Canis lupus familiaris: one gene and its partners. The protein of the gene in region 3 interacts with the protein of the main gene of each other region in a pairwise test. Links are inferred from orthologs where the notes say so. Each region holds a gene or a part of one and is shown on either strand. Other genes may lie near its edges. The genes, in order: PRKAR2B, CDC5L and KIF5B.

The links.
Region 1: the proteins of KIF5B (region 3) and PRKAR2B interact in binary tests that used the Homo sapiens proteins (3 or more experiments, as listed by UniProt). The two-hybrid records come from large-scale screens. The link is inferred for Canis lupus familiaris from reciprocal best matches to the Homo sapiens genes KIF5B and PRKAR2B.
Region 2: the proteins of KIF5B (region 3) and CDC5L interact in a two-hybrid assay, tested with the Homo sapiens proteins (2 studies listed by BioGRID and IntAct). The link is inferred for Canis lupus familiaris from reciprocal best matches to the Homo sapiens genes KIF5B and CDC5L.

Annotation. Positions count from the first base shown.
Region 1 is NC_049239.1:13,747,016-13,758,181, forward strand, and holds the start of PRKAR2B (cAMP-dependent protein kinase type II-beta regulatory subunit), read right to left. Parts: upstream 5,977-11,166; 5' UTR 5,962-5,976; coding exon 5,658-5,961; intron 1-5,657. UniProt on the Homo sapiens protein: Regulatory subunit of the cAMP-dependent protein kinases involved in cAMP signaling in cells. Type II regulatory chains mediate membrane association by binding to anchoring proteins, including the MAP2 kinase.
Region 2 is NC_049233.1:12,998,291-13,008,794, reverse strand, and holds part of CDC5L (cell division cycle 5-like protein), read right to left. Parts: intron 9,945-10,504; coding exon 9,864-9,944; intron 9,573-9,863; coding exon 9,330-9,572; intron 6,581-9,329; coding exon 6,383-6,580; intron 1-6,382.
Region 3 is NC_049223.1:12,693,571-12,704,074, reverse strand, and holds part of KIF5B (kinesin-1 heavy chain), read right to left. Parts: intron 10,312-10,504; coding exon 10,207-10,311; intron 9,721-10,206; coding exon 9,672-9,720; intron 9,128-9,671; coding exon 9,072-9,127; intron 8,977-9,071; coding exon 8,889-8,976; intron 8,730-8,888; coding exon 8,605-8,729; intron 7,502-8,604; coding exon 7,397-7,501; intron 6,991-7,396; coding exon 6,845-6,990; intron 5,978-6,844; coding exon 5,829-5,977; intron 5,402-5,828; coding exon 5,208-5,401; intron 4,175-5,207; coding exon 4,106-4,174; intron 2,424-4,105; coding exon 2,217-2,423; intron 1-2,216. UniProt on the Homo sapiens protein: Microtubule-dependent motor required for normal distribution of mitochondria and lysosomes. Can induce formation of neurite-like membrane protrusions in non-neuronal cells in a ZFYVE27-dependent manner.

The DNA of each region.
Region 1 (11,166 bases), on a different chromosome or scaffold from region 3:
TGCAGCTCTTAGCTACTAATTATGAGCTGAAAGGATGTGGGTTTTATTACTGTGCAACATAACTTCACATTAAATCCTAAGTGGAAATGCCACGTAAGCTCATTTCCTACTTCATTTCTCTAAAAAGTGCAAACACTAGATTCATTTCCACAAAATAACAATGAAGTGGCTATTCTGCAAGAAGTTTACACTTCTGTTAAGATTTCATGTTAATGAGATCATTTGTCTTACACGGAAACAATGCTTGCTATGTGCACTGTCCTGAGGCCCTTATAAATATTAAACCATTTATCCCCTAACAACCTTAGGAGGTAAAGACTATTAGCATGATAATATGTCAATATGCCCAGCACAGTGCTTCATCCCTGAAGGAAAATGAATGTTGTCAGACTTTGGTGAACATTTTCAAACCAATTAAATGCACTGAAAAGGCTGATGAAGAGCTAACGACTGGCTGCTTTGCCTCATAATCATCTAGTAGCCAGAGAGAGCAGGTTCTTAAGTAAGAACACGGAGATAAAAGTGGGCCCTAATTGGGCAGCCCGGGTGGCTCAGTGGTTTAGGGCCACCTTCAGCCCAGGGCGTGATCCTGGAGACCTCAGGATCGAGTCCCACATCGGGCTCCCTGCATGGACCCTCCTTCTCCCTCTGCCTGTGTCAGTCTCTCTGTGTGTGTCTCTCATGAATAAGTAAATAAAATCGTTAAAAAAAAAAAAAAGTGGGCCTAATAAATCAGCCAAAGGAACAATTCAGTGAAGCAATAATTACTCTCTACAAGTTTCTCCTACCAGTTAGACCAAGAAGTCAACAGGTAAAAGTGTTTTGTACTACCAATTGGAGCCCAGTGAAGAATATTTTCACAGCAGATTATCAGGGAGCCAATATATCTACTGCCCTGATTCCTTTTGCCAGTTCATTTTAGGAAGACCACGTAAACCACTTCACACAAGTGAACTTCTGGGCTCTTATCCTTCAAGTTACAACAAAGTTTAGTGCTTCTGATTCTGTGTCAGAGATACAGAGATAAGGAATACTTGCTCATAATCCTCTAAGAAAACCTCTTAGATGTGTGAATATTCTTTCAAACGCTCCTTCAACCATTTCTTCTCATGAAATAAATTTGTTCTCTTAATCTCCCCCTGCCACCACCAGGAGCTCCAACTTTCTAGTATTTTGTGTGATCTTAAGGATCTCTTATAAATTCACCCATATTCCCTTTAAATTGTTTTTAAAAAAAATCATAGGTACATACAATTCTCCAACAAAGATTTGGCAGAGGTCAGAATTAAAAGGATTAAACCATAGTTTCTACATGGTGAATTTCTATTTATATATCTTGACATGCTTGTTTATAAGATATTCTAAATGTCTGGCATGTGTACACACTTTGAACTCTAGATTTTTCTTCCACAATATGGAAAATTAGTTCCTGTGTATTTTATATACAGTAGTTTATTTTTCTTCCAGTTTGATGTCTCTTCACATGTAATCTAATCTTTTTCTGACCATTTGTCAATTTAGAGGAGTATTTGGGAATTTTACTTACTTCATTTTATAATTTCAGCAATTTCACTGAAGAAATTATTGAGCAACACAAGCTCTCACAATGATGCCTGCACGAAACCATTAATTCCACTCCAAATCAGTACTGATCCAATTCTTTGGCCGGCTGTTAATTCTTCTAATACATTCTAAGCCTGGGGACACTAGCCTTTCAGAAGCAACATGTCATGCTTTATTTGCTACCTCTTGGATGGGGAAGACGGAGGCAGTCTCCACTACAGCTTCTCTGAGAACTTCCCTTTTAACCAGAATTTATAGCAAACTGAAAGGAATAGAAGTAATAAAATTTAAAAACAGGAGAGAAATGGGACAGCTACCAGCAGAGAAAGGGATTCTTTGGAAAAGCAGGAAGTAAAGACCACCTTCACCCATCTGACCATATGGCCTAGTGCTGTATCCATGGTCAAGCTACCAGACCCTGGCTCACTTATTTGATTCCACTACCATACTGAGGTCAAGGTTATATGCTTGATCCCTACATGAGTCAAATGAGCAACAGTCTCCTGGTCAAAAATTTGCCCAACTTCTCATAAATAGCATCACTTGTCTTAAAAGGATTCATGAGAGTGAGTACAAACCAATCCATGCAAATTCATCACCATTACTGGAAAAATAACCAGGACAACCTGATCTGTGTGAGTCAGTCCACTGAACAAACTTAATTTAGGATGAACTCTCTCGGGTCAGACAGATGGAAGTTAAGAAACACCAGACTCTGATACTTACTAGTCCTGTGTGTAACCCCAGACAAGTTCATTTTTCAGAGCCTTACAGAGAAAACACAGGGTCTCACGCAGATGTGATACAAAGGGGATGCTCAAGTGATGCTGGCCCAGCCCCTTCCAGAGATAAAACCTGGGAGTTGAGAGCAGAGGGATGGAGCCAGGCCCACCTGTGTTTCATTTCCGGTTTTGCAGCAGCCTAGCTGTTAAACACTGGACAAGTGACAGCTGGGATTATGAATTTGATTATGAAAGCATTTAGATAATGTCCAGCACATACCAAACGTCAATAAATGGTGGCCACTTTTTTAAAATGTTGATATGACAAAGACATTATCATCATCACTATCTGTTGATCAGTGTTTCTCACAGTGTGATCAGGGAACTATGGATATCAGAATGACCTGGGACGTCTCTATAAAAAAAAAAAAAAGGAAAGAAAGAGAGAAAGAGAAAAAAAAAAGAAAAGATCCCTTGTTCCACCCCAACCTATTCAAATAAGCTCACCAGGAGCAATGCCAGGTAATACTCATTTTTGAATCAAACTTCCCTGACATGCATACTAACATTTAAGAAATTAGTGACCCAGTTGGTCTTGTGCTGTAAATTAAGACTTGTGCAAGTAAATAAGACTTGTCTTCTAATACTTATGCTTTACTATGCTAGGAGAATTGCCCAGGATCCGATGTTTTTTTGGCAATTTTTTGCACCAAAACATTAAATTGATAGGCTCACTTCTGTTTGTTTTCCAATGGCACTATTTGACTTTTTCCCCCAATTCCTGCCAGGGGCCAGCAAACTATGGCCTTAGTCTGTGGTCAATTTTGTACATCCCCAACACATCTCCAGAGGAAACATGTGTTTAAAATGTTTTTGTTTTTTTTTTAAAGAATATTCAATGGAGACCATACGGTGCTCACAGAGCCTAAAATATTTACTACTGTCTAGCTCTTTACAAAAACGTTTGTCAACCCCTGGTAGCCTATAATGTTTTTTTAAACTGAAGGTCTAAACTAAAACACAATTTACATACTTAAAAGATAGTAATAAGAGAATTAATTAAAATAGTTGATATTAAAAAAAATAGTTGATATTCTAGTAGATATTTTCTAAGTGCATCTACTAGAAGGAAGTGCCATTGCCAAAATTTCTGTTATACATATATGCATATATGTATATCATAATGTCGAATTGTATTTGGTTGTAGTCAAAGAGTTTTAAAGTCCTTGGGGATAAGGGTGAGAAAATGAATAGTGCAACTGGTTAACGAGTATTCATTAAAACTCACACAGAGTAATTTTTACAATAAAGGTGCCTTGGAGAACATAAAACCATATAAAATGATTGAGAAGTTAATGGCTTATTCAACACAAAATGGAAATAAGAGCTGTTTTGTGTACAAACTACATTGTTGTAAAAAGAAAATAGAATCGTCAATGCAAACTACTTCATAAGAATTGTACTACAAAGAGAATATTTTAGTTATACTAACAGTAAATCATACTAAACATATATAGGGTTTTGTTGGTTTTGTTTTTTTTTTTTTTTACCACCTCCCTTAGTTCCTAGTTTCCTCCACCCTAGAAAACAAACCTTTTTTTTTTCTTCCTATATGTGTGTGTAAAGCGCACGTACATATGTTCATGCATGTGTCAGGAGCAGAAAAGAGTATTAGATGCTTCTCTCCTTTCTATGTCATCCATTATTGTTGGCTTCTCCTTCCCCTCTATTTAAATATGCCGGCTTTTACCTTTTTCTTGTTTCTAGCAAGGAAAGCATCTGATTAAATTCTTGTGCAAAAAGAACTGAGACTATGATCATCTTATCCCTGGAAACAATAAAAAGCCCAAGATGAACATTTTTAAAGTAACAATTTTCCTTTTGATCTTCAAAGAATACTTATTATTAATTCAGGGTTTTGTGACTGTTTCGGATGAGCTAAAAATACATTAATTTCAAAACACGGTTTCGACAAATTTGCAAAGAAAGGAAACACCTTCCTAGGAACACACTCAAGGAAATGACACTTTAGAACATTTTCATTTTATGGAATACACTGCAGACACACAAACCGCAAGCAGTGTAAATAAATACAGACTGGTGCAATGCCGAAATGCATGTTTATCTTCCACCACAAAGAGAAAAACACTTGCACACCGTGGAATTTTAACTTGGGATGCCATAAAGAGGGGATTTAGGCATGTACTGTAGGCACAGGAGGCTGTAACCGTGTGTGTGTGTGTTAGGGAAAGAGGCTTGTAAGCAGAAGGGGTGGGACTTGCTAGGAGTAGCTATTTGAGAAAATTTCCTTTTTCTTTCTCATTCATTCTTTCTAGCTTGTGTCTGGCACAGTCCTTACAATTACTCACTGGCTTTTCATTCTGAAGACAACCAACAAGCTTTCAGAACTTCCTACCGGTGTTTTTCACATACTTTTATTTTTTAAGGCACCAAATCATTGAATACTTGTTTAAAATAAAAAGCAAACCATTAGCCCGTTTCCTCATTCCAAAGACCCCATGAGTCGCAGGCAATACAGGATCCTTTGTTGCGTGTCCAAAAAATAGCACAGCGCGGTCCTGGTAAATTGGGAAAATAAGAGAGGACTCTGTTTCCCAGAATGTCAAAGTTACCGTCATAAACTGTGTCCTGCCCCAGCGAGTCCCAGCTTCACGCTCCCAGTGAAGGTGCCGCTCCCGGCAGCAAGGCCAGCCCGACCGGCGCCCCTCGCCTGCCCTCCGCGACGCTCCGTGCACCAGCCCAAGGTGCCTCCCCCACGCACGGGCTGTCGGTCGGTCCAGCGCCGTCTGTCCGACCGCAGGCAAAGTTGTGGGTCCGACGCCCCCCCCGCCCCCCCCCGCCGCGGCCGTGAGCCGCCTGCGCGCCCAGCCCCGGCACCTGCTCCGAGAGCCCGGACCCCTGCAGCGCCCCAGCTCCGGGGGAGGGCGCCACGCGGAGGGGGGAGCCCGGGATGGCCGCGGGGGGGCGAGGCGGGGGTGCGGGGGAGGAGGCGGGGGTGCGGGGGAGGAGGCGGGGGTGCAGGGGAGGAGGCGGGGGTACAGGGGAGGACGCGGGAGAGGCGGGCTGCGGGGTCCAGGGGGTGGGGGGAGGCGGCTGCGGGGTCCAGAGGGTGGGGGGGAGCTGCGGGGTCGGAGGGGGCGGGGGGAGGGGGCGGGCTGCGGGGTCGGAGGGGGCCGGCGAGCTGCGGGCTGGGGAGGAGCTGCGGGGTCTGGGGAGGCGGGCTGCGGGCTGCCGGGTCCGGGAGGGGCGGAGGCGGGCTGCGGGGTCCAAGGCCGGGGGGAGGGGGCGGAGGCGCGCTGCGGGGTCCGGGGGGGAGAACCGGGCTGCGGGGACCGGGAGGGGGGTCCTCACCGTTGAACGCGCCGGCGTCCGCGGCCTCCTCCTCCTCCTCGGCGTCCTCGGAGTCGGTGCGCGCGGGCTCCTCGGCGAAGTTGACCCCCTTGCTGGGGGTGCCTCCCCCGGCGGCGGCGCCCGCGTCCCCCCAGGTCCTGGCCTCGTGGCCGAAGCGCGCGGCGCCCCTGCGCTCGTTCTCCTGCTGCAGGCGCGTGAAGTGCTGCAGCGCGAAGTCCAGCAGGTCCGCGGGCTGGTGCCGGAGCACCTCCACCGTGAAGCCCTGCAGCAGCTCCGTCAGCCCCGCGGGGATCTCGATGCTCATCCTGCCGGCCCCGCGGCGGCCGCCCGGGCGCCGCCCTCGCCGCCTCCCCGGACCGGCCTGCGGCCCCGCGGCCGCCGAGCGAGCGCGGACGGCGCTGGCGGCGCTACCGGCTGCGAGCGCGGCGCTCTGGGCCCCGGCGGCCCGGCTGGCCCGGCTGGCCCGGCTGGCCCGGCGGCGGCGGCGGCGGCTCCGTGCGGCGGCGGCGGCTGAGCGAGCGCGGCCCCGGGAGGGCGGGCTGCACCTCCGGCTCCTCCCGCTCCCGCCGCGGCCCCGGCTCCCCGCGCCCCCGCCCCCCGCCCGGGCCGCCCCGCCCCCGCCGCGCCGCGCCGCGCCAGCGGGAGGGGGCGTCGGAGCGCGCCCACGTGACCCGCGGGAACCATGGCAACCTGGCCGGCGTGCCCGCGCGCGGAGCGGGAGCCGCCGGGCGGGGGCGGGGCGGGGGCGGCGCTCGGCACGTGGGTGCCGCCCGGCCCCGCAGCGCCTCGCCGCGCACCTGCCCCGGCGGCTCCGGGCGGCGAAGGCGCGGACCAGCGGACGAGCCCCCGCCCCGCCCCGCCCCGGGAGCCCCGCCGGCCCGAGCTAAGTGTCGGCGGCGCCTTTTGTTCGGAGCCACCCGAGCTGCGGCTCCGGTTCTGGACAAAGAAGTGAGACCCCGGCCTCGCCGCAGCCCCTGGGCTCCCCCTGGCTGCCCCTCCCGGCCTCCCGCCGCGCAGCCGGCTCAGCACGGGCGGCCCCGCCGAGGCCCGGGCGTCGGCCCCTCGAGGCGCCCACGAAGACAGACGCGCTGTGGGCGGGGGGCGGGGGGCCCTGCCGGCAGGACGGTGCAGCGCTTGGGGTGGAATGTCACCGTCAAGACAGATGGTCTTCGAGCAAGATATGCTTTGCACCACGAGGCTCTTATTTATTTTAGAGCTTCACCTTACACGCTGAGGGATTTGAATTCCATCTCCAAAACAGGTTTCTTAATATAAGGAGAACTAGAACCAGGGACATGGACTTTTAAAGTTGAAGCCCTTGGCTTTGAAATGAGGCTTATTCGGCAAATGTTCATAGTTTTGAATTAGAAAATTGCTTTTTACCAATTAAATGGGGGGGGGGGTTCTTTCCAGATTTTATTTATTAGAAAGAGAATGGGAATGTAGAGGCAGAGGGAGAGGAAGAGGGGGACTCCCTGCTCAACAGGGAGCCAGACCCTGGGCTTGTTCCCGGGACCAGGGGATCATGACTTGACCCAAACGCAGACGCTTAACCCGCTGAGCCACCCAGGTGCCCCTAAGTAACTGTTTTTTTTTTTTTTTTTCAAAACAGGTACTTCATTTTCGATAATGACATCATATTGTAAATAAAATATTTGAAGAGCAAGCCCAGCTATTCTGATTAATCTTTCCACTCACAAAAAAAAAAAAAGAACAAAAAAAGAACACACATGACTCAGAAAATTTTATAGAAATTCATCTTGGAAAAAAAATAAATTCATCTTGATATTAATCCTTTGTTCATAATTCAACTTATAATCGCTCCATGAGTGAATGTATTTCTCGATTTCTGCTTATCAACCTCATGATAGTATGTCATTTTGAAATACAGTAAAATACATCTAATTGTGAACATTTTAAGCCATAAGCTTTTATAAAATACTATGATTCTCATAAAGGGCAATATTAGTCCAACTCTTAACTGTGTAAGCATTATATACACCATGTAAGCATTAGTATCTTTATAGATCCAGCAGTTAAGATGAATTTTCATCATGTGCCTTCATTTATGACTTTTTAGAAGAGTTTATTTATTGAGAGAGAGCATGTGCACAGAAGGAGAGCGAGAAGCAGGCTCCCCGGTGAGCAGGGCGTATGTTGTGGGGCTCGATCCTAGGACCCCCAGATCGTGAGCCAAAGGTAGACACTTAGCAGACTGAGCCACCCAGGCGTCCCCTTATGATGATAATTTTATTAAGATTAATTAGCATTGTTCGAGCGTGGGAGAAAATGCACAATACAGTAGCTTTAGGAAGACAGAAGCTTATTTCTCTATAACGTAAAGGTAAGCAGTTCAGGACTGGTATGGTGGTTCCATGGTCCTCAGGTACCCAGGCTCCTTCTAGCTCATTGCTCTGTAATCCTCAGTTTGTGGATCCAAATTTGGTAGCAGTCCAGAATTGCTGCTCTACCGCCAGTCATCTCATTCACATTTAAGCCAAGAGAAAAGTGGGAAAGAAAAGTGATTCCACCTCCCCCACCCCCACTTCCCTCCATCCCCACATCTCCATCCAAACACAAACACGCCTCTCTAAGAACACTTCCAGAAAGTTCATCACACCAGTTCCTCTTAAACCATCTTGGCCAGAACTTAGGCAAGATGGCCACATCCAAGGTATGGCAGGTTGCATTTTCAAAGGGAACACTAAAAATATCTCCTGTCCCTTGTGTTCTTCCACAGTGTGGCCTTGCCATTCTTGCCTGCATCAAGAGTTGAAATCTTAATTCCCCTCCTCCTGAATCCGGATGGGTTTATGACTGCTTTGAAAGAAGTCATGCCAGGATGACGGAAGCAGCCAGCTCTGTGATGGCCTGCCCCAAATCCTGACCCACAGAATCTGTGAGCATAATAAAGAGGTTGTGTTAAGCCTCTAAGCTTGGGGATAATTTGTAACACAGCAGTAAGTCTGAAACACATAGCCCTAAGGAAAGCTAGGGAATGTAAGCTTTATTTTGAGCAGTTGTGTGCCAAGCAAACATTTGGAAATTGAGAACCAATTCTGCCGACAATAACCAGTGTCCGCCAAATGGTTAACATCCTCTCCCCCAGGAATGACAGAAGAAGAAACCACCACTTTTCCAAACATTTACAAGAACCATATTTCGAAGTAGCATATTTTGTGTTTCAAAGTCGTTTCTGTTGTTGGTCTGTTTTGTTTTTTGTAGAGTTACTATATAAGGCATGATACATGGATCTGTCATCAACGGCAATGCCGGGGTCATTTGGTTGTCATTTCTTTAGGGGTATAGAAGTGAGCCAGGCATGAATAAAATGCATAATTGGATTAGATGACCTATATGGTCTCTCCCATCCTGGGCTATTTTACAGCAATATAATATTAAAAGAAGACATGTGGGATTTAAAACATCTTTGCAAGCAGCTGTCTGATAACAATTTTTATTTGCATCAGTTCTTAAATCAGTAACCATGACCTGAAAAATTAAAGCTTGATCCTGGTAGTCCTATTATGTTAATATTTTGTTCTCAGAACAGACATTCACTTCTAAACTCCTATTCTAGCTTTTATTCACTATCACATAACCTTTTGGATAATATGTTGTGATTTTCTTTGCTTTCATTTTCAGACTATTTCCTTCTAAACCTTGGAGTGCAGTGACAGTGGCCTATGGAGACTCTTCATCTTTGGATTCTTTAAAAGAACATCACTGAAATTGATTCTTTGGTTGTTGATTTACAAAGCAATTTTCACCAGTTTCTCAGAGAAGCAGAAGCAATTGCAAAAGAACTCCAAGAGTTCAGCATTGGAATGAAGTGAGAATGCTACCAAATTTGCACTCACACATGGAAAATTAAATAGATATTGGACAGAGACATCAATTTGTTTATATGCAGCTGCTATCACAGGACGACAGCATGGACAAGCTATAGTTTAGGCAAGCTGCTCAATGGATAATCATAACTATGACCAATCAGTGTTTCTTACCAAGAGTTAATATGTCTCTGTGATGCAAGAAATATATACTCACTCAGGACATGAAGGCAAATGGAAAGGTCACAGGAGCTGTGCTGACACAGAGCCCACTGTGGCTGTCACTCTTGGTTTTTATATCCCTTCAGCAGTTCAGCACTGACTATGGTTTTGGTGTCTATAATTCATGTCCTGAAGAGAGGATAGTATGGTCTTGACCATCCAGTGGATTGGCTGGTGCTCTCCTGGTTCAGCCAGTGTGGCCAGTGGCATGCAGGATCAGGAAGGGGTTGGGTAGCATAAATATGTGGCAAGACTTGCCTTTTCAGAAAAGTCCCTAACATGGGTGCTGCTTGTAGCGTGGGCTCTCTCAGGACTTCTGAAAGATGACCACCTCAGAGCCCGGGAATCTTGGAAACGTTTGGATTAAGACTAAATAGAATGACTGATGTCTAGATGCAGCTTTGTAGCCCCAGATTTTCAGATTCAGTAGGTTAGAAGCGGGGCCTGAGAATTTGCATTTCTCCTGTGGGCCTGGGGACCACACTTGGAGACCATGACATTCGATTCCCCAGGAGGGAGCTTAGGAGCATACTGAGAAGACAACTCCTTGAGGTAGCTTTTCTGCTTAATGTCAAAACATAGGTTTTTTTTCCTCTGGCTAAGTGAGGACTAAATGTAACTCCATTATTCTGTTCTCCTTGAAGGAGTCTCATACAGCTAAAGAGATTCTCAAAAGCAACAGAGAATATGTCCTTAAATGCTACATTTCGTAAATGGAATACGGGTTTCCTCTTAAGGACAAGGTCAGGCTTTCAAGTTTATCTCTGCTTCCTGAAGCTCCACTGAAACCATGGCTAAAGGGATGGGGAAGATACAACAAAATTATGAACATAAGGACAAAAGACCAAGACCTATAATAAAAATTAAAAATGATAGTAAAGGGCACTTGGGTGGCTCAGTGGTTGAGCATCTGCCTTTGGCTCAGGTCGTGATCCCAGGGTCCTGGGGTCGAGTCCCACATCGGGCTCCCAGTAGCAAGCCTGCTTCTCCCTCTGCCTGTGTCTCTGCCTTCTCTCTGTGTCTCTTGTGAATAAATAAAATCTTAAGAAAAAAAAAGTAAACATTTTTAAATTATTTAGCCTTAAAAAGGAAGGGAAGTCTGATATGTACTACAATGTGGACATACATTGGAGACATTATGCTAAGTGAAATAAGCCAGTTACTAAAGACAAAAACTGTATGAATCCATCTAAACAAGGGACTTAGAAAAACAAAACAAAACAAAACAAACAAACAAACAAACAAAACAAGGGACTTAGAACAGTCAGATTCATAGATTCATAGAAACAGAAAGTAGAGTGGTGGCTACTGGGAGCTGAGGGGAGGGGGAAATGGGGTGTTGTTTAATGGGTGAAGAGTTTAAGTTTTGCAAGATGATACTCTTCTGAGGTTGGTTGTGCAAGCATGTGAGTATACTGAACACTACTGAACTATACACTAAAAAGTGATTAAGATGG
Region 2 (10,504 bases), on a different chromosome or scaffold from region 3:
TTTGGAATTTGCTTCAAAATAATGGGAAAGGGAGAATAACATGGGAAACAAAGTGGCTGTGAGCTGATACTCCTAGCTGGATGATAACACTTGAGGACTCATTAATACTAATCCATATTAGGGTATATTTGAAAACTCCCAGAATAAAAGGTTCTATAAAATTCAAATTCAGTATCTACAGGAGATGCTATTTTGTTAAGACTGTATACCACAAACCATGAAATAATACGATGAAATATAAGAGACATCAAAATTTACAAGTATGTCAACAATTTCAACACACCAAAACGTATATATATCAAATGTTAAATTAAAATCCACAATTACATTAAAATCCATTTATACTAACCAAAATCTGAGCCGTAAGCCTTACTCAACCTCTCTGCGAAAATCATCCCATGTCTCAAATTTCAGACAATCACCAAAATTTACAGAACAAAATCTCAGCCACCCTGTTGTGCAAGGTTAACAGTTACTTCTTGATATCTGAAAGTATCAAACCAAGTTTAATCCAATTTAGGTAACACTAAGGGTGATAACACACCTGAAGAGACATGGGAGAATTTCCATTCACAAAACCTTGCTAATTGCTAGGCACACCATATCTCATTTAATCTTAACAGTATCTCAAACTCTCACTTCCGGGAGATAAAAACAATTACCCGCCCAAATATCACAGGTAAGCAACTTAGAGGCTCAGCGAGGTTAAGTAACTGGCCCTGGGCCACACAGCCACTAAGTGAAGAAGCTCCGGAGTGTGTCCTAATTGAAAGTTCAACACATTAGGCCACACCACTACTAATAAACCACTACTGAACATCTGTCTTGCCTCAGCCCCTGCAATGCAAACATGCCTGAAGAAATTCAAGCTGTGGGTCTAAATGGCTTAATGCCATCAGACAGTTCCCTGAAAAACAAGTTATTCTAGACACCCATAAACAAGATCTTAATTAATGGATCTGTCCATCATTCTTTCCTTGATTGAGACATTAGCCTACAGGAAAAGCTTGGACTTTCCCCAGCTTATACTTTTAAATTCCTAATTCTTTTATTCTTAATAAGCTATAAAATTATAAGAAAACAAACATCTCTCAGAAAAATTTTACAGGGAAGAAAAGGTTATTTAACAACTTTTTAAGAAGCTGAGCAGAATATAACTAGTATATAATTACCTGAGGATTTCAGCAAAGCTATTCTTTGCCACAACTTTATAGAAGAGAGCAAGTGATCAGGCTTTTTTAAAAATGTTATTTGTAATAATATACCATTAAGTTAACAAAGTAGTATACGGTGATTCCAATCCAGTTCTAAATACCTTCCTCCTTTCCTCCACGCGTGGATGCATCTGGTAATTTTTTCTATATGTAGTGATATACATACAAATACACATACACACACATATATATAAATATATACATATATACATACACACCCCTCAAAATGTTTAAGGCGATTATGTCTGGATGGTAGGCTTCTTTTTAAATTGTTTTTTAATATCTTCTTAAATTTTCTACAAAGTACAGGTATTATTTTTAGAAAAACGCCTACAAATGTTATTTCTTAAATGCATAGAAGAGAAACTGTCTAAAAAAGACTGGCCAGAGACCAATGGAAAACTGATGGTCCCCAGGAGATGAATCAGTGGAACCATAAGTGTTTCCTCGGGTCATTACAAAAGGGGGCTGTATGGGACTTATAAAAGTGTAATTGTTACTTTCAAACTCACTAAGTTTGTTAAGGTTACTAAGCTTAAGTAATTCCAAAATAAACACATTATCCTGGGTCTCCAATACTGTCTTCAGTTAAAGCCTGTTACAGTGAGGTTCAGAAACATTAAGAGCATCCCTCAGTGAAACTCTTGCTTGGGGGCCCAGAATATAACTTTATACTACTGGAAAAACAGGTTTAAGGATACCCAAAATAAATACAGAGTTGATGGCAGCTCCACTTCCTAGTCCATCATTTAGCAATATGATCCTATAGTAGTAACGATGTGGTTCAACCACCAAAATGTTTGCAAACAACAAGAGTCCATGAGTGCCCTTCCTTTAATCTCTATGCTATTCACTGGTATTAAGTTCTATCAGTGAACCTTCTCCATACTGATGAGCTGCAGGTCCAAGTAAGTGATTATTGCTACTAGCATCAACCCAAGTTAGCAACTACCAAGCTGCATCCCGATAAAGCAAGCTAAGCAGTGAGGCAAAACCTCACCAAAATCCTTTTCAAGAACAGTAATGGACCAACAAAGCAGAACACCAAGAGCACTTGACAACTGCATGAGTTAGGAAATGTCACATGAGACAAAGTCAACTCAATGTTGAGGCCTAACAGAAGCAACACAACTGTACCAAGGAAATCTCTGATCCAGCTCTAGAGTTCTTGAAAGAAACAAGAGCTCTGTCGATGCCTTTAAGGATCAAAGGAAAGAGCAGAACTCGAGAAAGGGAGCATTTCAGAGTATTAGAAACTTCTCTCCTATGCCCTGCGCTGCCCCCTCCCCCACACACCTCTGATGAGGTAGCATGAAACCTGCAGAGTGACTACAACACACAGGCCGTCACCCCAGGTTAGCGCAACAACTCAATCTGCACCGGAAGCTTTCACTCTTCCAAGTATTAAGAGGAATTTTTTCCTATGTAAAAATATCTGACTTTTTAACGAAAATAACTGAGAAAATATGATCCACTGTGCCAATTTTGCTGAAATATAACCATTCAGTCAGGAGTCCTCATAAGAGTTCTAGAAATACACTGAGAAAGATTTTAAATGTGTTATCTGTGTTAAGTTACTTTATTTCCAAGAAGCTGATGGTTACATAATATTTCTTGACTAAGTTGACTGTGCCAGTAAAATACAGGGAGAAGTATTACCTCTGGACCTAGTTTCCACCTCTAAGGAAAGCCTTTCCATTTTTATAGCTAACATGACAAAATCTACTTTTCAGCCAAACTTCCTCAACACGGCAGTTTAGATACTATTTCAAATACTATTAAATTTAATAGCAGGCCTAAATTCAGACTTCTTATTTCACTTTTGCACCTACTGGAAATTATTTCACTCAAAATAATTATGTCTTCAGACAATTTCCTATTTCCACTTAAAGTGGAAACAAATTAGAACACTTCAAATTCTATTTGCACTTCCCAAATACAGTAATGACTCATTTATCTGGCATCATCAAAAAATGAGGTTCTCCACATGAAGCATTTTCCAGATAACTGAAGTCCACAAGAGCACAGAGCTTGTCTGCTTTGTTCCTACTATATTCCCAGGGGCTTGGAGCAAGGGCTGGCACATAGCAGATGCTCACTAATACTCACTAAACATATGATTACATCAAATACTAAAACCGTTTTATTTTTTACCATCTAATAAAAATTTTCCTACTGTTTTAGCCATCCCTCTTTAAAACAAACAAAAGGAAAGAGATGACACTAAACAGAAATTAAATGTTTTATTTTTTAAATCTGGGGCATCACTACAAATAGCAATCATTCTACTCTCCTACCATACACCTACAATGCACTCAGAAGCTATTAAAATACCATATTTAAATAGCCTCAATATGCTATGCTTTCTAAAAACTTTTCCTTTCCTGATATTAGCTATCATTTCTGTTTGCTGCTGCTGCCGCCTTTACACAAAAAAATCTGACAGGATTCTAAAATTAATTCTGCCTCCAAAGCAGAATAAAATACATGACCTTGGTTACAATTCTGAAGTCTTTCCTGCTTACTTCTAACCTGTGACTACATTCTGATTCTATGCATTTAACAGACTCCTTTTACCATGCACCACATTCTACATAAAATCTGAGATGGTTCTTTCTATTAGTTTTAAATGAATATCTTAAGGGTTTTCATTTAAGTTCTACGTTTCAAATACTAATGAGTAATGGCTCAAAGACCAGCTCCAATATAAACCTCAGGGCATATTTTTTAATCCATTTAGGAGACACCAACCACGACAAAGCTGGATTTCATCTTGCTTGATACACTGTGATAGGGCCATAATTTAGATTCACTGTTCCAAAGTTCATGACAGCAAAAATCAAACACACTGGCAGCCATGGTGTATTGTGCTTGCACAGAAAAGCATATCTCCCTGAACCTAAGAGTGGAAAGAATAATTTAAGTATAGCATTCAGTTTATATAATACGACTGGAGTTCCTTCCCCACAACAAACTTTGAATAATGTTTATAATTTAGCAATCAACTGAAATGATGAAAGAATTACCACAATTGAAATAAAATATTTATGTATTTCAAACCAGTAGAATTGTGTCTTCAAAAACTAAAATAAGCTAACACAAACCTAGTTCTGAATTAGGGATGGATACAAATAAAATGGGGGATTTGTTTATTTGGGTTTTTGAGTCTCTTTTCTTCTTTTTAAAGATTTAATGAACTTTCATTTGAAATAAGTGTAGTTTACTAAATTAAAGGATTTGATTACATATTCTTTAAAAGTAACTAGCTGGGTAAACAATAAAGTAAGTTATCCAGAAGTCAAGAAAAGAAAAATTACTTCAGACTGTTTTATGAATATTCTTCCAAAATCACCAATCCTTCAACAAAAATAGTTCAACGGAAGATTTCAGTTCTTGGTACTGAACTGAACAAAGAGAACCACATGTTTTTAATGGTTGCTCATAAACGACCCAAATAAATCTCCAAAAGAACAGCAGAGGTTCTTTCTGTATTTTTCCCTTCAAAACTCACAAGACCAATTCAACATAAAAATAAAAATTACTGTACTTTATGGCACCACTCACTTTGTGACACATTTATTTGCTGTCATGAAAGTTAGTGCCTCAACAAAGTAAATGAGATTTAGGAAAAAAAAAACTTTTTTTATATCTTAAAGAGCACAAAATGTCCTTACCACTTGAGGCAGAAAAAGTTTACCCACCTCAAATGAGAAGCTTTTCAAACTGAGTGAGAGACCAAAGTATTTGTATATAAATGTTACAAGGAAGCTTTCCAAACAGCTTTCTAATCAATTATGATGTGACTTTAGATCAGGATTACACTGCTAACTACCATTTATAAATAAGAAACAAAGCCTATACAACAGAAAATATAACTTTAAATGTGACCACTGATGTTCTCCTTTCCCAGACTTTAAATCGTGAATTAAAAACACAGCACAACAGCACACCCTGCTGGAAGCTAGTAATACAACTGAGTAACTAGCATTACTTGGATTGCAAAGGTTTCAACCAAGATGAGAATTACTTCAAAGAGAAACTCATTACCACTAAATGAAAAAAGAGGCTCACAAGTGTTAACCATTAGGTGCCTATACATGTGGTCTTAAGGGTAAAATTAAGAATTAGAATAATTTCATATTAAAAGAATGCTTTTATTTTTTGTTCATTTTCCTAGCCCTCACAACAGCACCAACCACCCCAAGTGATATTATCATTTTTTTATTTTAACTCTAAGTAAAAATATTTTCCAACGCTTTCTGTAAAAAGAAATTAGGAACTACTTAGGAGGAAATTGAGGCCATTTCTGCATGTGATTGCCTATAGCATCCCTTGCTTCCCCATCCCATCCTGGCCTCAGAAACATCCCTGAAGGCCACCATTAGGAATCCAAAAGGCAGCCTAGTGGTCCATGAACCACAATTTACATGCCATTGGAAAATTGCCTACACAGATTCTGGAATTCAAAACACAAAGACCATATTACGAAACCATACACTAAGAAACTCCCATCTCGTACATTTCAACATTTCCTAGGATGTGTAAAAAATCACAGAAGCCACTGTCTAAGATAATCCAGCTTGGTGCTCTCTCTGCAACAAACTCGAAAGAATCAGAGGATGAACAGAGAGTAAAACAAAGTTTTATAAATGGGCTCCCTTGGCTATAAAATTTTCTTGGTACCACTGAGCTCCCTCCTTAGAGAAAACAAGCTATTTCAGCATTGATAAACATTGTTATGTGTGACTAGTGTTAACTTCTTGTCTCCTGCTCCCACATTTAAAAGGTTCTGTTTGACCTGTGATCACCTGGAGGGCACTCTTTATCATAAATTGCCCATTTATCAGCAATTCTGAAAAAGTCAAAGAAGATAGAACACTTCAGTGCAGTTTTCTCTCAAGAATTGCAAAAGCAAGGAGCACCTGGCTGGCTCAGTCAGAAGAGCATGCAACTCTTGGTCTCAAGGTGGTGAGTTCAAGCTCCACATTGAGTGTAGATTACTAAAACAAACAAAGAGACTTTTAAAAAAAGAAAAAGAAAAAGAAAAAGAATTGCAAAAGCAATAATCACCTCAGGTCTACTCTTCTGAAATTGTCTCCAATGGTATTATTCGGTTCATTATTTCAATCAAGGTACACTTTAAATTAGAATTTTAAAAGGATACCAACCTCCAGCCTCTTTTCCAGTGACTCGATCCTGTCCTTTTTGCTAGCTAGGTTGGCCCGTGTGTAGCGGCTCTGCCCAGGAAGATACAAAACTTGGCTGTAGCATTCTTCCCATACCTGGTTATAAGCTTCACTTGAGAGTTCTCCGTGGCTCATACCTTGTTTTACCACTTCCATCTCCTGTACCAGAACATCCTGGGCCTGTGTACAGTAATAATTTCAGTAAGTTTAGGTACTAGAATAACTTGCCATCAAGAGAGAAGTTTAAAAAACTAGTTTTTCCTTTCTTTGGGTAAAGAGAAGGAGTTTGGGTTAACTGGTTGTTTTCTTGGAAAGGGAGAAAACATCTAAGTTAAAATGAATTAAGAAGCCAATAAGCTGGGGCAGATTGATCTGAAAAGTCAAGCATCCATGTATCCTGAACAATATAAATATCCTTTGCCTTCAATCACTGTAATAAGAAGCAACCATTTCTCAGATATCTACTATACGCCAGAAACATTTCAACCTACATTATCTCCAAACACCACAACCATCTTACAAAGTAGTTGGTATTAATCACATTTTAAAGTTGATGAAACTAAGGTTCAGAGAGATTAATCAACATGTTCAAAAACACATCACTAGGAAAGGCAAGGCAGGATCAGGGCCAAGCCAAATGGCACCTGTGCTTGGCTAATTCCTTCCACTCTACCAATTGCCTCCCTACACTTTAGACTTCACAAGATTGTGAAGGGGAACTAGGCATTTCTTTTGATACATGCCTGTTTTCTCATTTGAAATGCCCCCAACATTGCCAGAGAATGAGATGGGGCACAGATCGGAAAATAATGGATCACAGACCAGCTTTTACTTACTACTAAGAAAGTTTAAGATGAAAGAATGAGGGGGATAGAATTGATAGACCTGAGTACAAATCATAGTTTTACCATTTAGGCAGCTGTCTGAATTTGCTGAACATCTCTGAGCCCATTTCTCATCTGTAAAATGAGGATAATACCAACCTATTTGTTACTGGGATTAAGTGATACAAAATACATACAGAGGCTACCCCAACATCAGACACAATGACTCCATGAGTAGAACACATAAACTTTTTCCAGCCCTTTGCCTCATGGCTAAAAACTGACAACTATCTTTTCATGCTTTAAAGAAAACTTTCAATCATTCTAGTACATCAGAAAATAAAACAGACCAAAGTATATTAAAATCAAATACAAAAGACTTAATGGAAAATCGTGTCTCTAGAAGATAAAGAATACACTTTAAAACAGTATCTCTGAGGGGAAATAATGAAAACAAATCAATTGTAACATCTTTAATGAAAATCTGACACTTCATAAGAGAAATGGTATTTCATTCCCAAACTGTACATAATAAAAATTTATAAAATCAGCTCCTATAATTATAAGAAGAGAGTATGACTAAGTTATCTTTAAACTCTCCATAAAGAATCTAAGTAAATAGCTGTTTCAAATCCTTTTTGGAACGGAGAGGAATATAAATACATACATAAAATATAAAAGAATATTTAAACTAGCCTGTAATGGTTTCAAATAATTCCAAAGCACTACGTATTTTTCAAAAACTTTATTAGAATCTATCCCCTACAGAATCTTCTATTAAGCTACAACAGATCATAATGTGATCCTTATTTTGGTTTCCATAAATACAGTAAACCCCTTGATCCCATCTTCCCCTATTTTCCCTCCGAAAAAAGAACACTGTTCAAGTACAGAATTCAGAGTGTAATTCTTAACCCCAGTCCAATGATTAAATGTGCTTGCCACAAGAGGCCCTCAACAGATGTCAGTTTCCCGTCACACTTACTAAAATGAATAACTCAGATCCTCAGAAATCACAGGCAAACTGTTTAAATATAAATCTAAATAAATCCTCTTTCCTTTCTCTATTTTCTCAAAATCTTTTAATAAACATATATTACTTCTCAACAAGGAAAATGGAAAGAATAAGACAGAAGAAAAGCACAAGAAAAGACAGAAAAAGGTATCTTATGGATTTCCTCCCAAGTATGCAATAGCAGATTCCAACAACGGGTCTGTCTGTTCCTCAAGGCTAAGCACTACAGAAAAAAAGACTAATGGCTAATGACCACTCTGCTTCCAACCATGGCACCCACTGTATTTCCTCATACCATGGAAGAAATGATTTCTATTCACAATCATAGCTGTTTGCTCTGTCAAAGCAGAAATAATCAAATGCATATGGAGAAGAGGCAGGAGAGACTTTCTACAGGAAAACGTTTCTCTATTTCCTTATCCAAAAGAATAGTGGGAAATCAAGTAAAAGGAATAAATTCAGTAAATGGTATTTCCTTTCTTTGACTAGGTGAAAGAAACATTTTGAATATGTGCTTGCTTTCTCATATTAATCTAAATGAGGTTTAAGTTTTGTTTTTTTTTTAAGATTTTATTTATTTATTGAGACACAGAGAGAGAGAGAGAGAGAAAGCAAGAGAGAGAGAGGCAGAGACACAGGCAGAGGGAGAAGCAGGCTCCACGCAGGGAGCCCGACGTAGGACTCAATCCCGGGTCTCCAGGATCACACCCTGGGCTGCAGGCACCGTTAAACTGCTGCGCCACGGGACTGCCCCAGGTTGAAGTATTAAAGGTATTCAATTCTACTCAGAAATAGCAGTTGAACACAGGAAGTGGCAATTGTAGCAACTGTCCATCAGGCATATACCCATAAAACAAAAACACCTTGCCACCTAAGCTAGTGTTCACCTGAAGAAGCTCTATCAAGAAAGGGGAAAGGGGCATGGTCAAGTATGTCGTCCTCCTAACACGTCATATGACCAGCTATCTCCTAATTACAAATTCATTTGTTTATAAATATCAGCCTCAGAAAATAAGCTACTGTTCATCTATGATACACAGTACTGAACCAATACTTTAATCAAGACCAAAATATTTCTGTTTAATCATACCTTTTTCAGCTCTTCTTTGGAGAATTTTTCATAAGGGTTGTGTTCCAGATAGGCAATGTGTTCTGAATTATTAGTACCAAATCCTACAGTTTTCCCTTTTTTATTTCCAGATGGTTCATAAGGATGATGTAGAAGGTCATAATGAAGCATTGTAATCATTTCTTTTTTGATTAGTTCTTCACTTTTTTGTAAATCTGTTAGAGGTGGTTCTACATTTAGGGGTCTTAGAATCGTTTCATTTACCTAAAATTTTAAAACAAGTACCATTAACAAACAGATCACTGCAATACTGATGCTATTACTTACTTGCCCTAGCATGAATTAAATAGCAGTTTTACATTTTAAAAAAAAATTTTTTTCCTTCTAAAGTCTTATTTGTACCAGTGAAACATTTTAAAGATTAGATCTGCAACTGCTTTACTACATTCCAGAAAGTAGATAAAATTTTGTTTTACAGACTTTATGAATGACATAAAAACAGCAATCACAAAGAAGAAACTTAAAACTTCCAAAGCCAGAAGTTCTAACACTTACTTCTGATGGTCTTGGCAGATCTTTCTGGACAGCTTTGTGCATTCGTTTCATTTCCTTTACACGTTCTGCCTCTCGTATAGCCTTAAAAAATTATTTTTATATCCATTATTACAGATATGCAATATTTGCCGCATTTCAATAAAGTTGAAAACTTTAGTCTATAACAACATGCATGCTCAAGAGCTAAAGCTGTAGAAATCTGTGTAAGTTTGTAGAAAGACAATAAAGCAACAGAAATCAGTCTATTCACTCTCTCATTACAATACAAACTAAGAATTGCCAACAGCTACTAAAGCATTCTCCAAGTTTACATGGCTTCATCCATCAGATAATCATTTTTTTCTGTTTAAACTGGAATCCTAATAAAAATCCTCGAAAAGAACACAAGCAGTAATGTCCCTGACATCAGCTGTAGCAACATTTTTCTAGGTAAGTCTGAGGCAAGGGAAATAAAAACAAAAATAAACTATGGGAATTAACATCAAAGTTAAAAGCTTTTGCACACTGAAGGAAATGATCAACAAAACTAAAAGGCAACCTACTGTATGGGAAAAGATATCTGCAAGTGACATATCTGATAAAATATATAAAGAACTCAACACCAAAAAACAAATGATCCAATTAAAAAATGGAAAGAAAGA
Region 3 (10,504 bases):
GGCTTATCTTTTGAAACGGAGTCCAAACAAAATAATGTTAGAATAGTAATGAACTTTCTAGATGGTTTGTATGTTTTATCTCCTTTCTATATACATAGTCATTGAAAATAGTCTACCTGATAATTACTACTACTTTGATACTATGATATAAAAGCAATTATTTAGGAGATAGTGATGAAGTAGTGTTATTGAGTGTTAACTACTCTAAGTTTATAATAATAGCTAATTGACCAGCAACAAAGTCACCACAATTTTGAGAAGTCCAACCCAATTTGGCCACATTAAAACTTACCATTAGGGCAGCCTGGGTGGCTCAGCAGTTTGGCACCTGCCTTCAGCCCAGGACGTGATCCTGCAGACCCAAGGATCAAGTCCCATGTTGGGCTCCCTGCATGGAGCCTGCTTCTCCCTCTGCCGGAGTCTCTGCCTCTCTCTCTCTCTGTGTGTGTGTGTGTGTGTGTGTGTGTCTCATGAATAAATAAATAAAATCTTAAAAAAAAAAAAAAAACTTAAAAAAATAAATAAAATAAATCTTACCATTATAACACAGTCAGATATTAAAAGTCAGGAAGTTGTATTAAGAATACAGTAGCTTTTTGTAAAGATATCATTTCAGTTTATTGTTTCTTCTGGTCATTTCCCTAAGTTTCTGAATATTAGTTGTATGCTTATCCAGTTTAATCTAAAATACCAGATATCTTTCAAGTCCCAGAAGATAGCATGCTTTAAGGTCTAAATCATTATGTATCTTCTCTAACAAGTGAGTAACAATATTGTACACATATAAAAAGATGCAGAGGGCAGCCCTGGTGGCGCAGCGGTTTAGCACTGCCTGCAGCCCAGGGCGTGATCCTGGAGACCCTGGATCGAGTCCCGCGTCGGGCTCTCTGCATGGGGCCTGCTTCTCCCTCTGCCTGTATCTCTGCCTCTCATTCTCTCTGTTTCTATGAATAAATAAATAAAATCTTTAAAAAAATATAAATAAAAATAAAAAAATAAAAAGATGCGGAATGCTGTAAGGTTTTCCCAACTTCTATTACCAACATAGCGTTGACAGACTCAGCTTCATAACTGGGACACACCCACAACTGTCTTAAAGACTAAAATCGGTGACTGAAGACCAACTTACAGCTTGTGGAGTTTTAAAAAACTCCTATTGTTCTCCAAATAGCAATTAGGTTTGCTAATACAACTCAATAATTCTTAATAGTAAGAATTATAAAGGCACTTTGATCTCCATGCTATTAAACTGTACCTTTGGAGATTAAAAGGGGAAAATGAATTTTGCATCAGGGGCATGAAACCTTTAAAAATAGTTCTTGACTGCTTTCCTTTAGATAGGTGAACATGGATAGGTAAATAGTAGTGAACACGGATCCTGAGTCCAACTCTAGATGCAATTTCTGGACAAGAAGTTGGTACTGACAATAATAAAACATTAATAATAAGACAGCTCATCTGTGGTGATGCTGCAAGTATAGCAATCACAATCCCACAGTTAGATACTACCTTTAGCATCATTCTAGGAAGGTGGCAAATCCTGCTTTATAGCAATAACAAATAAAGACCCTTATCTATGGCAGAATTACAAGAAGAGCCTTCTATATTGTGCTAGGTAGGCTTTACTCCAGGAGCTAGGAATGTAACAGAAAACAAAAACCAAATTATAGGGCAGCCCGGGTGGCTCAACGGTTTAACACCACCTTCAGCTCAGGCCATGATTCTGGAGACCCAGGATCAAGTCCCACATCGGGCTCCCTGCATGGAGCCTGCTTCTCCCTCTGCCTGTGTCTCTGCCTCTCTCTCTCTTTTTCTGTGTCTCTCATGAATAAGTAAAATATTTAAAAAAATTATATGAGCTTATATATCCTCTTATTTTTATGTGCACATTTCTTAATTTACAGTTTGAACAATCATCTAATAATTTTATTGAGTAACTAGGAGCTAACTTATTTTCTCTTTAACTTTAGAATATTAAGAATAGCCAACAAGTCTTCAAATGGCATTTTAATTACCTTTTAACAGACCGTCAGGACCTAAAAGGATAACCTTCTTCCTTCACCTCTAAGGATTTATATAAAGGAGAAACTGAATTTGAGGCTTGGAAATGCTTAAGAATGGATACTATCAGCACTGAGCTTAGATAAAAAGAAGTTACTTAATTTCAATGAAGAATATTTGTACTAAAGTATTAAGAAAACAGAATTATATCCTACCGATTTCTGATTTAGTTCATCACTAAGCAATTCATACTCCTTAGTTTTATCTTCCACTTCCTGAGACTTCTGATCATAATTGACAGCAAGTTCCTCTAAGGCTTGTAAAACTTCTTTTACTTCTTCTTTAGAGGCATCGTTTTCTGCTTGCAGGCGATTCAGTTCAGCTTGCATATTATCTTGATCCCTTCTGGTAGATGCCAAAAGCTACATACAAGAATAGAAGTATACAGAGGTTTTAAAAAGGTATAAAGGCTTAAAAAATCTATTTGCTTCACCATGTGCTAAACAAAAAGGGAATAAAATGTGGATGCTATTAACTGTGTGAACGTTTATTCATTCAATAGACTATCTACTATGTGCGGGCACTGTGGATGACAGCAAAAAAATAAAAAATAAAAAAATAAAGACTTTGCTTTGAGGACTCTAATAGAAGAAACAAAGACACATAAATAAATGTAATACAGGATGGAATGTTAACTAAGAGCCAAAAAGGAGGGACAGGACATGACAAAGTGCTTGGTAATATTTAAAACAAGAGAGTTATTCATGAAGAAGGCTAGAATTGGCAGATTTTTAGTTATGTGCAAATTCATGTATTAGAAAACAAAATGCATACTAGGTTCATGAACAGTGAGTACAGAACAAAAAAATTAGTAGCTGTCTAGAAGACATGCTTAAAAGTTCAGATCTTCTTTGGTCAACAAAGGGTGGCACCTGACCTATGCCTCAGGAAAACTTAGTATCAACATATATAATTTGACTGCAGAGAAGCCAACAGACTAGTTAGGAGAAGAGGGTCAGTTGCTGTCAAGTAGGAGCATCTAGAAATTTGTAGGAGTATTTCTAATGGGGCAGAATGCTAAGGACACCTAGAAGCAGGGGCCATGGATGCTAAAGGTCCTGTATGTAACACACAGCACAGAATAATATAATGAAGAATTGTGTAAATGTTACTAGTGCCCTCTTTGAGAAAACATGCTATAATTGAAGTACAAAGGTGATGTGACCAGGATCATGTTGACTGATGGTGGCTATCTCTTCCTTATTGAAGCTGTGTAACCTTTGCCTCCATATCCAAACCAAATCTTAAATGAAGTATCATTTTTAAATTACCCCTCTGTTCTGCCAGGTAAGATAAATTGAGGGTCCTAAACCAGGTGACAAACTAGAGAACTTGAAAGAACTAAGATGAAAGTAAAGAAGGCAAAAATCAGCTGGTTCGATGAGGGCAGACATGGTAAAAGAGGAGTAAAAAAAGATTTCATTCACTGACATCCTTATTCCCACAGTAGGTCATACCTCAAATTATATAATTATTAAAGATAGGTCAAAGCAATTCAGTTATTTTTTCTTCAATCATCCCTTGAAACCTGTTTCTGTGTGTTTAAGTGAACAAGTAACAATAAAACACTGTTTTTTACATTTCTTCATTTCCATGTGGAAATACTCTTCATAAAGGAACTGACAGTTTAAAAGTATAGTTAAGTCCATCTCAAGGATTAGTAAGACAGGTTTTGGGGAGAATAAGGAGATAAAACAGCACTATATATAAAACAAGGAGAGTAGAAGACAGTTAAAAAGTACAGTAGAACTATATTAAAGAATAGTACTGAAAAGTTATCCTCTCCTCTCCAGTTAGATAGAACTCAAACTTAAAAAAAGAAAAACCTTAAGAGGAAGTCAATCTTTGCTTCACTCATGATGTATCATATCCACAGTGAAGCATGGGCATATTAAAGGTACTCCCATATTGCAAATGTACTCCAGGATATTCTGAGCTCTCTGTTGGTTCATCTTTTATGTTTATTTTTTCCATCTCTTATGTTTAAATAGTCATGACAAACTGTAAGCTTTTCTGACAGCAATATGTACAATATTCACCTTACCTCTTCTTGATCCAACATTTGTGTCTTCAGTTTCTCTACCAATTGGCTCTGTTGATTAATTTCTTCATCCTAGAATTTTAAAGTAACAAGTCATTGTAAGATTATTATTTCCCTGACCAAAATACTTCAAAACTGTTTCTCCAAATTAAACATAGCTTATTTCAATCTCCTAAAAAAATGCTGAAGGCTAGTCATTTGTTTAAATGCTAAGAAATAATAAACATGTTTAAATTTATTATTGAAATAATGGCAATGCAGTTACTTCAAACCTGCCATATTTGCTTAAAATACACATAAAACACCACCTAAAAATAAAAACAAAACAAGAACTATTTACTTCTAGTCTCTTTACTGCTCTCGTTTTTCCCTTTCTTGATTCATAATTTGTTATTTTTCACAATAAAGCTGAGATAATTAAAGCAGGAAAACATTATTTCCACTTTATTTTGTTCCCTAATCTCCTGCATCACCTTTATTATTGAGTCTAAGATCCCTGATTCTTAGAGAAATCATTTCATTAAGATTCTCCAATGACCCAAGGTCTAATTCTCTTTCGAAAATTCTTTTAAAGAAGAGAAGAAAACACAAGTATGTCTCATACACAGTTCCTGCACAGAAACAGAAACTGTGATTTTGTATTTTTTATCAATACCATGACCCTTAAAACAATGTGAGAGTTAGGGGTGCTAACCGCCCCCACCATGGAGTTGAAGATCCACATATATATAACCTCTGACTTCCCAAAAACTTAACTGTTGCTAGCTGTTGAATGAATGGAAGGCTTACCAATAAAGATAATTAACACATATTAGCACACATTTTTACGTTACTGGGTTACATAAGGCATTTTTACAAGTACAGTAAGCTAGAGAAAAAATGTTATTAAAATCCTAAGGAAAGTTTGTTTATATTATTGTACTATATTTGTTTTAAAAATTCACCCATGCAGTTCAAACCAATGTATCTGAGGGTCAACCTAACAATCATTTTCAAAAGAAACTAAGGTAGATATATATAGGTTCCCTGGATCCATAACATTAAAATTAAAAATAAAAATACCTATGTCATAACATTCCAAAACAAAACATGAACAACAAGCTACCTTGTCATCAAGCTGTTTGTACAATTTCGCAATTTCTTCTTCACACTTTCTTCTTTCAGCATCAGTAAAGTTTCCAGTAACTCCAATTGTGGCTGCTGGTTTATCATTGGTAATAGTAACATCCTTATCTACTGCAAAAGCTTCCAAGTTGGCTTTCTCTTTGTCAAACTGTTCATCAACAGGCACTGTCTCTCCTAAAATAAGGCAATAACATGGTTAATAAACATCTACCTGTCTAAAACAAATTATAATTTTATTCAATTTCAGGAGCTCTCGCCAACTTTATCTGCTCAGTCCAAGATTTGAGAAGCTACAATTACTTTTGACTCATCCCTATCTTCTAAATCCAGTCACCAAATCTTGTAAATTTTATTGCTTCTACCCCACTGTGGAACCTTTCCATCTTGACTTTTATAGCTTCTAAGATGGCCTCTGTGCCTCTATTTATTATGTCAGGTAAAATCAGAATTTAAAAGATTTTCATCATTTTTAATTGATGATCCTTAATGCTTAAAAAGTAAAAACGGATATAGTTTATATTCATAACAGAGTCTCAAGTTTGTAAAATAGCTTTATATTCATACTCAACAAACTCAAAATGACACATTCATAAATTATTACCATTACGCCACCGGTTGAGTTCATTTTCAAGCCACTGAATGGTGTTCCGCAGGGTCTTATTTTTTTCCTTTTCTCTTTCATATTTCTTTTTCCACTGTTCTGCAGTTAATTCTACATTTACACAAACTGTGTTCTTAATTGTTTTAGCCCTAAGAGAAGTAATTGCAGAAAAAAATTTTTGACTAAAATTAATTATTTTCAATTGATACCTACAGATCTCTGTTATATATACACACATATGGCATTTTTGGCTAAGTAATTTAACTTGACAATTCTTGTTAAATTATCTCTATGACTAAATACAAAGAACCATAATTACTATAGTGCTTATTCACAAGCTTAATAAATTTGGGTCAGTCACAAATTGGTGATTATCTTAAAATTTAAAAATCAACCTGATAAGGATAAAGAACAAGGGCCCATATTTCCCCAATTCATTTGGAAGGCTAAATTAATATAAAAACAATTACTGTTGAAGGTCAAAAATAAAATCATCTTTGACTCTCCTAGGTTAACCAATTCATAAATGGTTATCTCATTATATGAACCTGTCACATATGTCTACAGACTAATACAGAATTATATTTGTCAAGTTTTTATTATCTGAATGCAAATACTTATTTTCTTTAATGCTAAATTAAAGCTTCTCAAATAAATTTGAGTAAAGTTAACATCTGACTTTCATAATTCAAATCTAAGCACCTTTAAAAATGGACCTTGTTTGTATTATCTCTCAATTAAAAAGTTGTGTCTGGCATACTAACAATATGCACTGATTTGAATATCTACCTACTTTTCCTAGACTTAATAAACAAAAGACCTATCTATCATTTAGACTGGTTTTTTTTTTTTTTTTTTTTTTTTTTTAAAGATTTTATTTGAGAAAGAGAGAAGCACAGAGAGAGAAGGAAACTCCCCGCTGAGCAGGAAGCCTGACTTGGGGCTCAATCTCAGGATCCAGAGATCATGACCTGAGCCACTCTGGTGCCCCTAGACTTTGTATTCTCTTAACAAACCTTTGACCAAACAGGAGTGTAGATTTTGTTTCAGATTCATTGTATGACGATGGAGAACAGCAAATTACAATAGTGGTTCTACAGTTTCCACCTAATGAGTCTTGAAGGATTCTCGTCATCTTACTATCTCGATATGGAACATATGTCTATGAAAAAAAAAAAAAAGACCAATGGGTTTCTATGCAATAAAATTTGTTATATATGGGTGACGGGCCCTGAGGGGGGCACTTGATGGGATGAGCACTGGGTGTTATTCTATATGTTGGCAAATTGAACACCAATAAAAAAATAAATTTATATATAAAAATTTGTTATATAAATATGTTGGACTTTAAGTTACAAAGGAATTTTGGTTATTTTAACTGATTAATATTAAAATGGGAACTAAAATCTACATACAAATACTATAAATTCCCAAAAGACAACTAATTCACATATACTGATTGAAACACACCAAATCTTTCACTCAAACATCCATGCATACACATATATTGATATTTGAATAATCCCCCATAAGATAACAATAGGGAAAGAGAAGACATGTATACTTACACTTCCCTCAGCCAAAGCAGAAATGACATTGCCAAGAGCAGAAAGTGACTTGTTGATGTTCTTAGCTTCATCTAGTACAGCACCTTCAGCTCCAGTTTTACTAACCTACATACACATTAAGATTCCAAAAGAATGAAACAGAATTTTAAGTTTAAATGATTTTCTAAAAAAGTTCAGAGGTCACCAATAACCAGCAAACAATAAAATGAAAAGCTTCATGATTTTATTCACCAATTATTTACTCTAAGCTATCACTATTTCTTAAGTATTAATCGTCTGAGAACTTGGTCAAGTAACTAGGTGCATGAGAAGAATGTGATTAAGGAGATACCAAATTTTATTTTTAGTTTATGTTCCTGAAAATAATAAGTTTACGGATACATTTACAATATACTATTTGTTAACCTCCTCTGCTTCATTAAGAGAGGAACCTTTTAAAATTTGCTAAAGCTTATTCTTGATATTTTAACTGTTACTGATTTTAAATACATAAGCAAATTCACTTCTTTTAAAAATGTGAAATATATGTATTAAAAATAGGATAAAAGTAATATTTTAGCATTGTTGACTGAAGAAACAGCCTCTCAGAATTCACAAAATTAAAGACAGGCTTTGAAGGATGTGTTTAAGACTTAAGTAAAAGGGAATTGATATGTTACTTCAATCAGAAGAAACAAAATTAGCAAAACAGCAAAAATAGTTACAGAGATCAACATTAAAACATTTGAACTTATTTTGATTTTCACATAAACTAGAATCAGATTAGTTTACTGTATAGTCTATGATAGTTAAATAATCACTGAAAGGAAAAGAAGTAGGTACATCCAAACCAGAAGACTAATGGATAGTTACCAGTTTTCACAGGGAGCCCCACTGTCAGTATGGTAAAATAGATATCAAAAATTGGAAGATGGTACCTAATAAAATTTATAACTACATATACTGAACAAAAGTCTCAATAAAAACACACTTGAAGTCAAAGGTAACACCTATTGGGGTTGAACTGGACTATGGCACAAATAACAGTAATTTGGAACCAGTTTTTCAGTTTAAGTAATCGTAAGCACTGGCATCAAAGCTTTTCTTTTTTTTTAATCTCTCAAATCTGATTTAATAGTTTTTAACATGTTAACAACAATGCTGAAGTCCAAATTCAAACTAAAGTTTATAAAAATGCTTAAGTATCTACTAGAATATAAAGATTTTACCTTTTCACTACCAGCTAAATCAACCAGATAAAGTTTTCCACTCAGCTTTTGTTCCGTTTGCGTGTTCTCTTGTTTTACATTAATAAGAAATATACTGTGACTCCTAGAGCTATGTTCATTCATATCTGCAATGAAATTACACAAACAACTATAAACAAACACGGCTTTCCCTACTAATAATTTCTAAAGCGTTATTTACATAAAAATCCAATATAATTAATCAAGTTGATAAAGGTATTTTAAGGCAGTTTTGTGCCTAACTAGTGTTAAGACATTTTACTTACTTGTAACTGCTACATGTCTGTTGGATTTTCCTTCGTCAATGGTATCCATAACTTCATCTGGACTACATACAAAACGTTCTGTGCACCCCTATAAAATAATTTTTTAAAGTATGTCAATAGCCATATTGACAATTGACAATTTATTACTTTTTAAACAAGCATTCTGTATTATTTTATAAATACCTTTACATAAGGAACTCGATTTTTATCTTCATGAACTGAAAGGTTGGTCTTTGAAACTGAAAAAAAAAAAAGTATCAGTAACATTCTCCTAAACTCTAAAACTAGTTATGAAAGAGCTAATTGTTGATTATTTCTCTTCCCAAGTGGCCTAATAACAATAGGTAAATTTTTAAAATGACACATCACTATTAAAGAAAAGACTCTGTAGAAACAGTAGGAGATTTAAACAGAAACTAATGCAGCAATATAAAATTTGAGGTCCAGGGTAACCTCTATTACCTACATTTTGAAAATAACATTATACCAGAGTAGTTTAATAGTTTCCCAGGGCAATGAATCTAACTGACAGCTGCTGAGAGAAGACGAGGACTCAGGACTTCTAATTATAATCTAATTTTCTACTTACTACTTAAACATAAGCAACCATAAATATGTGCTTTTTAAAGAAGTTATTCAGCGTGTCAAAGGCATTCAACTAACTTTAAAATACACCTGTTTCTTATAATTTAAGTCCAGTTCATTTGGTTACTTAAAAATGGCCTTATATCTGTTATTAAAAAAGTAATGTGCTTTTTAAAATGATAAAAGAATTTAACTTACCATCTAACAGGTCCCTTATCTTATCCAAATAAATTTCAAAATATGAAACCTGAAGGGCAAAGAAATAAAGGGAAAAAAAATCAATTAAAATTTTAAATTCATTCATTTGTTCATTAAATTTATTGGGGTCTGAGGGCTAAACACGATCTAGACAAGAAGGCAGAGTTATCAACAACTCAGTCACAGCTTATGTTCTAATGGCATAATCTGAATTATCTAAACTGCTCATGTAACTAAAAGCAATTTCCATTACATATCCTCATCTAAAATGAGTTAGACTCATGAGAAGAGTAAGAACCTTTGAGTTCAGTAATAAACTCCTTCATTTTATAGAGAAGGAGGCTAAGACAAAAGAGAGTTTGTGATCTTGTTTAAGGTCATCTAAAGGCAGAAGAACCCCAGTTTACTAATTCTAATGATTTTTCTACTATAATTTCCATAAAATAGTTTTTAAAAAGGAAGAGCATTTATTATTTCTTGGAATAAAATTATTCTAGCTATAAAACAAAATACAATCTTTCCCCAAGGATTCTACCTTAATATGAAATTCCAAATTTTCATCCATGGAGTAAATGTAATTAAAAATATCTTGCACTATTCTTGGAATAATCCCCATGCCTTCTGGATCATGAAGTTTACCCTAAACAGAAAACAAAATGAGACTTTAAGAAGTATGAATTAAAAGTAAAAACTTTCAACCTATAATTTGTAGTCAATAGAGAATAGTAATTGTAATTGTTGCCATTTTTTGGTGAAAACAACTCTACAAGGTATCTAAAAAAATCCAATTCAACTATTATGTATTAGTAAGTTACACATAAATACTGCAGGTC